2 linked regions of the Kluyveromyces lactis genome follow. The protein of the gene in region 1 binds, or shares a complex with, the protein of each later gene. Links are inferred from orthologs where the notes say so. Each region holds a gene or a part of one and is shown on either strand. Other genes may lie near its edges.

The links.
Region 2: the proteins of SSD1 (region 1) and CBK1 are in contact, whole or in part, in a crystal structure (PDB 5NCL), measured with the Saccharomyces cerevisiae proteins. The link is inferred for Kluyveromyces lactis from reciprocal best matches to the Saccharomyces cerevisiae genes SSD1 and CBK1. Residues at the interface, in NP_010579.1 of Saccharomyces cerevisiae: Phe211, Lys212, Phe213, Pro214; in NP_014238.3 of Saccharomyces cerevisiae: Asp450, Val451, Arg453, Phe454, Phe672, Arg673, Gly674, Val675, Ile680, Glu684, Ala685, Pro686.

The regions. Positions count from the first base shown.
Region 1 is NC_006039.1:904,355-911,057, forward strand, and holds SSD1 (mRNA-binding translational repressor SSD1), read left to right. Parts: upstream 1-2,493; coding exon 2,494-6,027; downstream 6,028-6,703. Other genes in the region: PUT2 (1-pyrroline-5-carboxylate dehydrogenase), read left to right, coding at 1-1,264. UniProt on the Saccharomyces cerevisiae protein: Can suppress the lethality due to deletion of SIT4, and partially the defects due to BCY1 disruption. Is implicated in the control of the cell cycle G1 phase.
Region 2 is NC_006040.1:668,595-673,646, reverse strand, and holds CBK1 (serine/threonine protein kinase CBK1), read left to right. Parts: upstream 1-2,395; coding exon 2,396-4,552; downstream 4,553-5,052. Other genes in the region: RPL42A (60S ribosomal protein eL42), read left to right, coding at 965-968, 1,559-1,875. UniProt on the Saccharomyces cerevisiae protein: Protein kinase that seems to play a role in the regulation of cell morphogenesis and proliferation.

The DNA of each region.
Region 1 (6,703 bases):
GAATGTATACCAAGCAGAAATCGATTGCATCACTGAATTGGCTGATTTCTTCAGATTCAACGTGAAGTATGCTAATGAATTGTACGCCCAACAACCCATTGAATCTTCTCCCGGTGTATGGAACAGGGCTGAATACAGACCTTTAGAAGGCTTTGTGTATGCAGTAACTCCGTTCAATTTCACTGCCATTGCTGGTAATTTGATCGGTGCGCCTGCGTTGATGGGTAACACTGTTGTGTGGAAACCTTCTCAAAACGCCAATTTGTCCAACTACTTGTTATTAACTGTTTTGGAAGAAGCAGGTTTGCCAAATGGTGTTGTGAATTTTGTCCCAGGTAACGCAGTGGAAGTCACCAAGGAAGTTTTGAGCGACTCGGAATTCGCTGCTTTACATTTCACTGGTTCTACTGCTGTTTTCAAGCAACTATATGGAGATATCCAGAAGGGTGTTGTGAATGGTTTGTACAGAGACTATCCGCGTATTGTCGGTGAGACTGGTGGTAAGAATTTCCACTTGATCCATCCAAGTGCTAACATTCCTCATTCTGTTCTATCCACTTTGAGAGGTGCATTTGAGTTCCAAGGTCAAAAATGTTCTGCTACTTCCAGAGTATACTTGCCCGAAAGTAAGAGCGAGGAATTTTTTCGTGATTTAGGAGGTGTCTTATCTGAAGTTCAACCAGTGAACACATCGGCATCTAAGATTAACGGTGGTGATTTACACGGTTTTATTGGCCCGGTGATCCATGAAGGTAGTTTTGATAAATTGGCCAAAGTGATTGACGATGCCAAGAACGATCCAGAATTGGAAATTGTTTTCGGAGGCTTCCATGATAAATCTAAGGGTTATTACATCCAACCAACAATCATAAAGACTACAAATCCAAGACATCCTTATTTAAGCCAAGAATTCTTTGGTCCAATATTGACTGTATACGAATATCCAGACGCAAAATTCGAAGACGTGTGTGAACTGGTTGATTCCACCAGCCAATATGGTTTAACGGGATCCATATTCGCCCGTGACCGTGAGGCTATTAAGATCGCTGATGAAAAATTGAAATACAGTGCAGGAAACTTCTACATCAACGATAAATCTACCGGGGCTGTTGTCGCTCAACAATGGTTTGGTGGTGCCAGAATGAGCGGTACTAATGACAAGGCCGGGTCTGGAAATATCTTGAACAGATTTGTTAGCGTCAGGAACATCAAAGAAAACTATTATGAATTGACAGACTACAGATATCCATCCAATTACGAATAAGTATATCGACCTGCATGAACTTTAAATTCCCAATCTATATAAATGTACAAATACCTAAACTCTTCAAGAAATAAAGTCTTTTTTTAGCGAAACGGAGACAACCTTGGACATGTATACGACAGTCACGCTGTAAGTGCTACTTTCGATGGTGCATGCCCAAGATCTCTCAAGCAGCTTCATTGTATATGAGGATGCCTTGTCTTTCAAACAGGCACATGTCCGGGTGACATTACTTGTGAGGCTAAAAATACTCCATATATTATTACATGTAAAACAGTGTGGATCCACCTCGTTTTAGATAGAATATAATAAATAATATGAAAAAACATGCTAATTAGTGACAATTTTTTAATATTCTACTTGCAATAGACTTGTTGAACTGACGAACGATATCGTTCAACATAATGTTTCGTTGAGCTATGGACGGACTTTTCATACTTCTTGACTTTGGCGTCCAATCTAACTGACTTGTTCCGAATTTGACTTTTTGCAAGTGGAGGGTAACAGAAAAGATTTTTTTTAGAAACTGCTAAAAGTGGAAATAGCTGATTTTATAAAATGAATTTTTGAAGAAGTTGAATTTAGAAGGAAGAAAAGATCAATTTAAGGAGTAAAGCCAAATTTGATCCCCCAAAACAGAACGGACCAACAGCTTCAAAGTCCTGCAAAGCTATCAATTATAGTTTATAGAGGGTTATTTTCTCTCTGCGAGTGTGTTTTTTTCTGTTTTCTTAGGATTATCTATCTTCGTTTTACTCGGGCTTGAATATTTCTTTCTAGTTCCCTTCTTTTTTTTTGGAGTTTTGCAATACCGTGTGATACAAGGTTTTCGAAAGCTTTGTCATCAGTGATATCATTTACTTGTGCTTTCACCAAACATTGTACGTTTTACAATTTGACTTATCCTCAAGTGAAATAGCTTCTCCCCTCCTTTTGAAATCTCTTTTTGTCATTCTGTCGATCTTCCCGTTTTATTGCTAATTTGAAATTGGGACTTTTTATTTTCTTTGACGATATACATTATTGGCTTTTAGTTAAATTTTCCTTTGAACGGCTCAATCACTTATAGTTTTTGGCACTGATTGATAGAACTACGTCTTGAATTTATTGGCGGAATCTTAGCGGATTATCTCGGAATCATAGTAACTATAGAATCTGTGACCTGGATACCAAAATATAATATTTACAACAATATCAGTACTAAAGGGCAAAATTAACCTAAAGTTATTATGCCAGAACAAGAAAGATTTGTTCAGACTACCGGTGGTAAGGGTACTCCGAAGCAAATTCACATTGCTCATAGGAAATCTCCTTCTGAACTTACGAATTTAATGATTGAGCAGTTTACTCTACAAAAACAGATCGAGAATAATAGTAGTGGCGGAAACTTAGGCGTACAGGGACAATCTGCCGCCAACTTTTTACCGCAACCACCCAACGTGCAGTATCAACTGTCCCCAAATTCAGGTAATAGAAAAGGCAGGTCTCATTCTAGAAGTGGTTCTGCATTCTACAACAATAACGATCACAAACAAAATCCTGCTGCAGGTGGACACAGAAGAACTGGCTCTCAGACGAGCGTATATGGACATTCCAGAAGACAATCCATTGGTTTGAATGAAGCCAAGAGAGCCGCTGCAGAAGAACAAGCAAAAAGAGAAAGTGGACCTCAGATCAAAATTGACAATGTTCAAGATATCCCTAAGTTAGTCGATGAAAATGAACAAACGAGCTTCAAATTCCCTGGATCTCCAACAACCGAGTCTAAGAATCTAGGTCACCGTAGAACTCAGTCAAATATGTCCCCTAATAGATCATTCCAGTTTCCACCTGCTAAGTTGAACCAAAAGGAAAACAATGATGATTTCATACCCGTTGGAACCCCGCATCGTCGCACTAATTCGAAAAATGAAGGTATCGACGGTAATTGGAGGTTGCAACAACAGCAACAGCAGGTATCGCCATTTCATCACTCTAGAACGCATTCAAGAGAATATTCAGGCCACCCAGGTTTGGAACCACCACCTGTCTTCCAACCAGGTCATAAATCACGTGGATCCAATGCTTCTTCCCACAGTTTTACCTCGGCAAATGGCCAGCAAAACTCCAATGGCCGTAAATCACTTTTCGCACCCTATTTGCCACAAGCTAACATTCCTCAACTAATTGAAGAAGGCAAATTGGTTGCAGGTATTCTACGGGTCAACAAGAAAAATAGATCGGATGCCTGGGTTTCGACCAACGGTGTGTTGGACGCCGATATTTTCATTTGTGGTTCGAAGGATCGTAATAGAGCTTTGGAAGGTGATCTTGTTGCCGTTGAGCTTTTGATGGTTGACGATGTCTGGGAATCGAAAAAGGAAAAGGAAGAGAAGAAGAGAAGAAAAGATGCAAGCACTCAACAAGATATTATTCCACTAGACTCTAAAGATGATTACCATAATGATGCTTCAACAAGTATTGTTACAAGCGCATCATGCTCTAGTGAAAATAAAGGATCAGATGCTACATTGGGATCTTCATCTGGCTCCATCAAAAGAAGAGGATCATTGAAGCAGCGCCCAACTCAAAAGAAGAATGATGACGTAGAGGTTGAAGGTCAATCTTTATTATTGGTCGAGGAAGAAGAGATTAATGATGATTACAGGCCTTTGTACGCTGGACACGTAGTCGCGGTGTTAGACCGTATTCCGGGCCAACTATTTAGCGGTACTTTGGGTCTATTAAGACCATCTCAACAAGCGAACAACGATGTGAATAAGCCAAATAAGCCGAAAATTGTTTGGTTCAAACCTACCGATAAGAAAGTTCCTCTAATTGCCATTTCGATAGAACAGGCGCCTAAGGACTTCGTCGAAAATGCTGATAAGTATCTGAATAAAGTTTTCGTTGCTAGCATCAAGCGCTGGCCAATCACTTCTTTGCATCCCTTTGGTACTCTTGTCTCGCAATTAGGCGATGTGAACGATCCAAAAACTGAGATTGATTCAATTTTGAGAGACAATAATTTCTTAAGTGATGAATATTTAGACCCTCAGGACCGTACAAAGGAGAGAGATAGTTTTGCACCTGTATTGCTTTCAGAAGAGCAAAGCAAAACAAGGCGTACTTATGAAAATGTCATTGCCATTTCAGAAACTGGTGAAGTTTCTGATTATGCGGTCCATTTAAGAGACACTGACAACGGTAACCTTGAATTAGGATTTCATGTTGTTGATGTAACAGTCCATATTGAAGAAGGTTCATCTTTGGATAGAAGAGCTAGGAAAAGATCTAGCGCTGTCTTCATGCCACAGAAGACTGTTGGTTTGCTTCCAGCCGCTCTGAATGAATTCTTAAGTTTGCAGCCCGAGAAACTGTCAAACACTGTCAGTATAATATATGAACTGAAGCCTGAAAACTTTGATATTGTTACAACGTGGATAGGCGAGACTCGTGTCAAGCCAAACACCTCATTGACACATGACAGGCTTAATCAAGAATTGGAGAGATCTTCAGCTTCGGGCTCAAAGTTTGTTGAGAAACTTGAGGCAGTGGCTAAAGAATTTTACCGCTGTAGGCTTAACTCCAAAAATGCTGATTTATACAGGACTTTGCCCCTTTTGGAATCTCTCGATGACGAGAAGGTTAAAGTTGATTTGAATATTTTACAACGTTCTAAAGCTTTGACCCTTTTATCGGAAATAGAGCGTAAAGTGAATAATACCGTTGCTACTCGATTGTTCACTTCCCTGGGAGATGTTGCTTTCTTGAGAAGACAACCAGAACCAATTTCTACCAAATTGAAAACGTTCCAAAAGAAAGTTGAAAAACTTGGCGTTGAGATGGATATAACAAGTTCTGAATCAGTTTTGAATTCAATTCTTGCCATAGATAATAACACTACAAGAATGGCGGTTGAGTTATTTTTATCCAAGACCTTAACACCGGCTAAATATTTCATATCTGGTAAAGTCGAACCTGACCAATTTGCGCATTATTCATTGAATTTGCCATTGTTCACACATTTCACAGCTCCTTTGAGAAGATACTCTGATCATGTGGTTCATAGGCAGTTGAAGAGCATAATTAATGGTACAGAGTATAAAGAAACTATTGAATCTTTAAAAATCACGTCTGAATATTGTAATTTCAAAAAGGATTGTGCACATCACGCACAGGAACAGGCTATCCATTTACTCCTCTGCAAAACAACAAATGACATGGGGAATCAAAACGGTCAAGTACTAACTTTGGCCACTGTTTTGCAAGTATATGAATCTTCTTTTGATGTGTTTATCCCTGAATTAGGTATTGAAAAGAGAGTTCACGGTGATCAGTTACCTCTTGTTAAAGCAGAATTTGACGTTGCCGAGAGAGTCTTAGAACTCTACTGGAAGAAAGGTGTTGATAGTGCGACTTTTGTGCCATCTGACGAACAGAATCCAAAATCTTACAGAAACTCTATTAAAAATAAGTTTAACTCCAGCAGTAAAGAAATTGCTTTCAATCAAAACAGCTTGCAGAACAATTTGATTAGTGAGCAATTTAGCAAAGAATTGAAAGAATTGAAATTGACACCACCATCTTTGAATTTGCGAAAGTTCAACAACGCAGATGCATTGGAAGGATATTTCGAAACCACTGTCACAAGAGAAGAAGGTGACAACTATATTCAAGAGATCAGAGAACTTCAACAAGTTCCTCTACTCTTAAGAGCAGAAATTGGTATGGCGTTACCATGCTTGACTGTTCGTGCATTAAACCCATTTATGAGAAGTTGAACTCTTTCTCAAATGAGTTCCATTAATTTCTTCAGTTCTATTCACGTATCCGAACGGCGTATACCTATAACGCTTACATTTTTTATCTAATTTCATGTATATTATCTTGATATATGTCTATATAACGAATGCAAATTTTTCTAGTAACTCATTTGGAATATAGAAACTTCTTCTAGTTTCGTTTTTGTTAGTTGCAGTTAATAGAATTCTCTTTATTTGAGAAACAAATGTCACTTTAAGATCCTAAACCACAGAAATACTACAGACGAGTCGGGTACTAAATATGTATATCGTATCAGGAATTTCTAATGAAAAAAACCGATACCGAGCACAACAAGATTTTAGAGGTTTACCACTACTACTAGTGTTACACTTAATATCCTTCCCTTAGGTGTAGATCTTTGAATGTTGTTTTGGAATAATTTCAATAGGTGGTATACAAAAAGATCTATTTCCAACTTAATAGCTAAATATATGATACAAACAGTTCCCTTAGTTCATTCCATTGTGAAAGTTTAGAATTATTTGTAACTCTCATTTGTCTAGCACCTTCAGTTAGCTATTGCATCTTGCTTATACTTTCTCTTGGACTATTTACAAGCAAACCACCATCTTGCACAATGAATTCTTGACGACAGGAAAAAAGACTTTAATATTGAGATCATGAACATAACAA
Region 2 (5,052 bases), on another chromosome or scaffold:
TTATTTACTCTTTTTATTCTTCTTCTTGTTCAATGTTTCGCATTCTTGTATTATAGGCAATTGGTTTTTCAGTAGGTTTCCCGATTTGGAATAATTGAATCTTTGTGCTCTGACGTGACGGATGGCCGAGGCACATCAGGATGGCTACCAAAGTCAATCTACATGCACCGAAAACATGCTTGCCGAAGCAAAGTTTACTTGAGCATCCTTGAGAAGGGACCGGCAAGAAAACCGGACCCTTGGTGGCAGCGTCCTTCTAAGGTACGTTCTCTTGTGTTAACGCTGTCCGGTATATTGAACCAATTAAAGAGGAAAAAAAGAAATTGATGCGCGTCAGTCTAAGCTGTCGACATTCAAGGGTTTAGTATCCTGAAAAGAAAGCTTGTATAGACAGAAGACGGTTCTTGTGACTGTTTGCATCCGTGCACCATAAAATCTCTCTTAACCACCCACACATTGATTTTCGTGTTCAATTGAAATGTGAAAAATAAAATTGTTTCCCAATTAGGACTATATTCGTCTGTGGGAAAATAACATTGCCTAGTGGCATTGGTGTGGCCTAACCAGGCCGAATCACTCACTTTCCACTAACAGACCTTCCTCCTGGTCGGTCTGGTCTGGGCTACCGGCAGTGTAGTCTCTCTTGCCAACACATTACGCATTCATGCTTGCTTCTGCCTACTGCTTCCCGCCCAGGCTAGCTTGGACCTGCGTAGTCGGGGGGCCAGTAACGCCTGCTCGTCTGGACTTGTTCGCCTTTCACTCTTGCTGCCGTCTCTGCTTCGATGGCTGCCATTCGGCAATTCTCATCTGGAAGGATTGAACCACCTTGAATTTTTCAACATTAAAATATTACACAAGGAAAGTTCATCATAGTAGATATATCGTATAGTTGATTGTTATAGCACCTATTTGTTTCAGTACATTCAGAAAGCGTAACTCAACAGAGATCAAATCAGTCACAATGGGTATGTGAACAAGATTTAAAATATACCGTGGAGATTGTCAGTGGTTTATTCGATTTTTGGTATCCTGAGGGAAGAATGGAACGTTTGAAGTTTAGTACCAAGTGAACATGAAATGAGCTATGGTTATTTAACAGAATACAGCATTTCAGAGTGAATCAATGAGAAAACACCAACCGTATTGGAAATTCAGATATTGCATCGACAAGGGGGGAGAGTTCATTTGAGTTGGTGAACTATATCAAAAGATCAGTATTTTGGTCGAAGTATGGACGATTCACTAGCATAAAACCCTGTTCACGCTGGAGGAAGTAATTTGGGTTATTTGTTGTCCCTATGTTTCTTAATTCGGTGTAGTCGAGACAACCTCAGAGAATTGTATATCAGTGAAGTCAACGCTACACTGACTGAACATAATTAACAGGAACTCAGTCGTATTAAACAACTGGGGTTCAGATAGCCTGGACCTCCCTATACAATAAGAAGAAGAGAATAGAATTCCTGCAATCAAAATAAGCTGGATGAAGCTAAAGAATATTTTTTTACTAACATCGACATGTATCACTATCTTATGATATGTTAATTTCTAACAGTTAACGTTCCAAAGACCAGAAAGACTTACTGTAAGGGTAAGGAGTGCCGTAAGCACGCCCAACACAAGGTTACCCAATACAAGGCTGGTAAGGCTTCCTTGTACGCTCAAGGTAAGAGAAGATATGACCGTAAACAATCTGGTTTCGGTGGTCAAACCAAGCAAATTTTCCACAAGAAAGCTAAGACTACCAAGAAGGTCGTTTTGAGATTGGAATGTATGTCCTGTAAGACCAAGACCCAATTGGCTTTGAAGAGATGTAAGCACTTCGAATTGGGTGGTGAAAAGAAGCAAAAGGGTCAAGCTTTGCAATTCTGAGATTATCTTTTGGAAGACCAATTTGTTACCATTTGTCAATTTTTTAACTTTTCTATAAGTATTACGAATTCACATATACTCTTTCATCACATTTATAATCTCATATCTGTCATTTGTATAGTTTAGTCTCCACTGGGTACTTCTTCACTTTGCGATTTGTATTATACGTATTCTAAGTATAATTTTCAGCAGAACGCATAAGAGTTTATTAACAAGAATTGTTTACAAAGAATAGCGTAGGACTCAGGCTACATTATTGATCCTGCAGGCAGTAAAGCTTACATATGACCTTAGCTAATATAACATGTACATACTCACCATGTATACCACTTTTTTCATTCCATTGTCTAAAATATGTTTTCAATATTTGCCATAATCGCCAATTTCATTGGAAAAACAAAAACATCGAATCAAACTTGTTTTAGAAAACAACGAACATGAAACTATACTGTTAACGTTTAGAGACATATTTCACGTCAACAAGGCCGTTTGGACGTCGCTACTTCAGCAACAACACGTAATGTACGGTGGATATTCGAATCAGAACTACTATCAACAGCCTTCTGGTCGTCCAAACGATTTTCAGCAACAGGGAAACATGCCCTTTTCGGAACCTTCTCAGCCCATGTTCAGCACCAATTATATGAAACAACAAGGATCACAGCCGTCTTTACAAGACCGTCTGACCCAACAGCAATCGCAACCTCAGTCGCATAATAATCAATATTATCCGAATGGAGGGTTTACTGATGTGCCCAACTTGAATTATCCAGCGACTCCACCACCAACTCAAAGCATTTATTCACATAACAACAACTCTAATTCGAAGGTATATCAATCCGCTCAGCATACATCTCCCGGTCAATATTCTGTTGCCAGTGAGTCCGGTTTGTACATCCCGCCACCACTGCAGCAACAGCAGAATGGTCAACAGAGTCCTGTGAGATCGGTACATCAACAGACACAGCAAACACCGCCAACATTTACTCAGCAACAAAGCTCTTCCCAACCTCAGTCACCTCAACACAATACGTATCATGCACAGCAGCAGCAGCAGCAGCAGCAGCAGCAACAACAAACTCAACAGGCCCAGCAGCAAGGACAACGACAAACTCAGCAACAGTCTCAGCAGCAAGCTCAACAACAGAATGGATCGGCGAATAATTACATGTATTTTGAGAGAAGACCTGACCTATTGACCAAAACTACCCAAGACAAAGCAGCTGCTGTTAAGCTCAAGATAGAGAACTTTTATCAGAGTAGTGTTGGTTATGCTATTGAAAGAAATCAAAGAAGATTGGAACTGGAATCCGAATTGGCATCCCAGGACTGGTCCGAGGAACGTAAGAATAGACAGCTTGCTTCTTTAGGTAAAAAGGAGTCACAATTTTTGAGACTACGTAGAACGAGATTATCGTTGGACGACTTCAATTCAGTGAAAGTCATCGGTAAAGGTGCCTTTGGTGAAGTTAGATTGGTACAAAAGAAAGACACAGGCAAGATATATGCTATGAAAACATTGCTGAAATCGGAAATGTACAACAAAGATCAGTTAGCTCACGTAAAGGCTGAAAGGGATGTTCTAGCGGGAAGTGATTCTCCGTGGGTTGTTTCATTGTATTATTCCTTTCAAGATTCACAATATTTGTATTTAATTATGGAGTTTTTGCCGGGTGGTGACTTGATGACCATGTTAATCAGATGGCAAATTTTCACAGAAGATGTGACAAGATTCTACATGGCAGAATGTATACTTGCTATCGAGGTCATTCATAAATTGGGCTTTATTCACAGAGATATTAAACCAGATAATATCTTGATAGATATTAGAGGCCACATTAAACTATCAGATTTTGGTTTGAGTACGGGGTTCCATAAGACTCACGATTCAAGTTACTACAAAAAGTTATTACAAGAGGACGAGGCAAAGAAACAACAGCAACAACAACAGCAACAACAGCAATTAAATCTACAAAAACCTCAGCTCCCAAACGAAACAAACAATGGTAATAGAAATACAATGTTGGTTGACGCCATTCATTTAACCATGACAAATAGACAACAAATGCAAACTTGGAGAAAGTCGCGTAGACTAATGGCATACTCTACTGTTGGTACTCCGGATTATATTGCACCTGAAATTTTCCTGTACCAAGGTTATGGTCAGGAATGTGATTGGTGGTCATTAGGAGCTATTATGTACGAGTGTCTAATTGGTTGGCCTCCATTTTGCTCTGAAACACCACAAGAAACGTATCGTAAGATCATGAATTTCGAACAAACTTTGCAATTCCCCGATGATATTCATATTTCTTATGAAGCTGAAGATCTAATCAGAAGATTGTTAACTCACTCTGAAAATCGTCTAGGTAGACATGGTGGTGCCGATGAAATTAAGGCACATCCTTTCTTCAGTGGTGTTGATTGGAACACTATCAGGCAAGTGGAAGCTCCTTATATTCCTAAGTTGTCCAGTGTCACAGATACTAGGTTCTTCCCAACTGATGAATTAGAAAATGTCCCTGATTCACCAGCAATGGCACAAGCTGCAAGACAAAGAGAACAGATGATGACACAGCAACAAGGGGTTCCTCAATCCAATGCAAAGGAAGATTTACCATTCATCGGGTACACGTACTCTAGGTTTGATTATCTAACTAGAAAGAATGCTCTATAGTAACGCTCTCTGTACATAACCGCGACGGAAGTTCCTAAATATAATAAAATAAACGAAAGTAAGAAATACTACCAAGAATTATAAACATTACGGTCATTAAAGTGGAGAAAATGTAGATACAGCTGATTCCCAATAGATCATAATCAAATTGACTCAATATCAGGCGCCCAGCAACGTACTTGGTATTAAATCTACGCTTCAACACAAATTATTAAAACCAGGAAATAGTGAACAACACATAACCCGGTCCCCGCGCAGAACGAAATCTTACACAGGGATAACCGTGGAGCGATAATATTGATGTTGATCTTTTAGGAAACAAATAGTAACTAAGGTTAAACTAAAATAGTTCTAATGTATTTAATCATTGAAAGGCCTATAAGTGGAAACGAAGAAATATGTATCTGATTTTATATACTGGCAAAAAAAATTTCATGTTAGTGTGAATGATCTCCTTACTCCGGGTAACGGAGTTTATCAAAGTGTTTTCCGTCCAATAT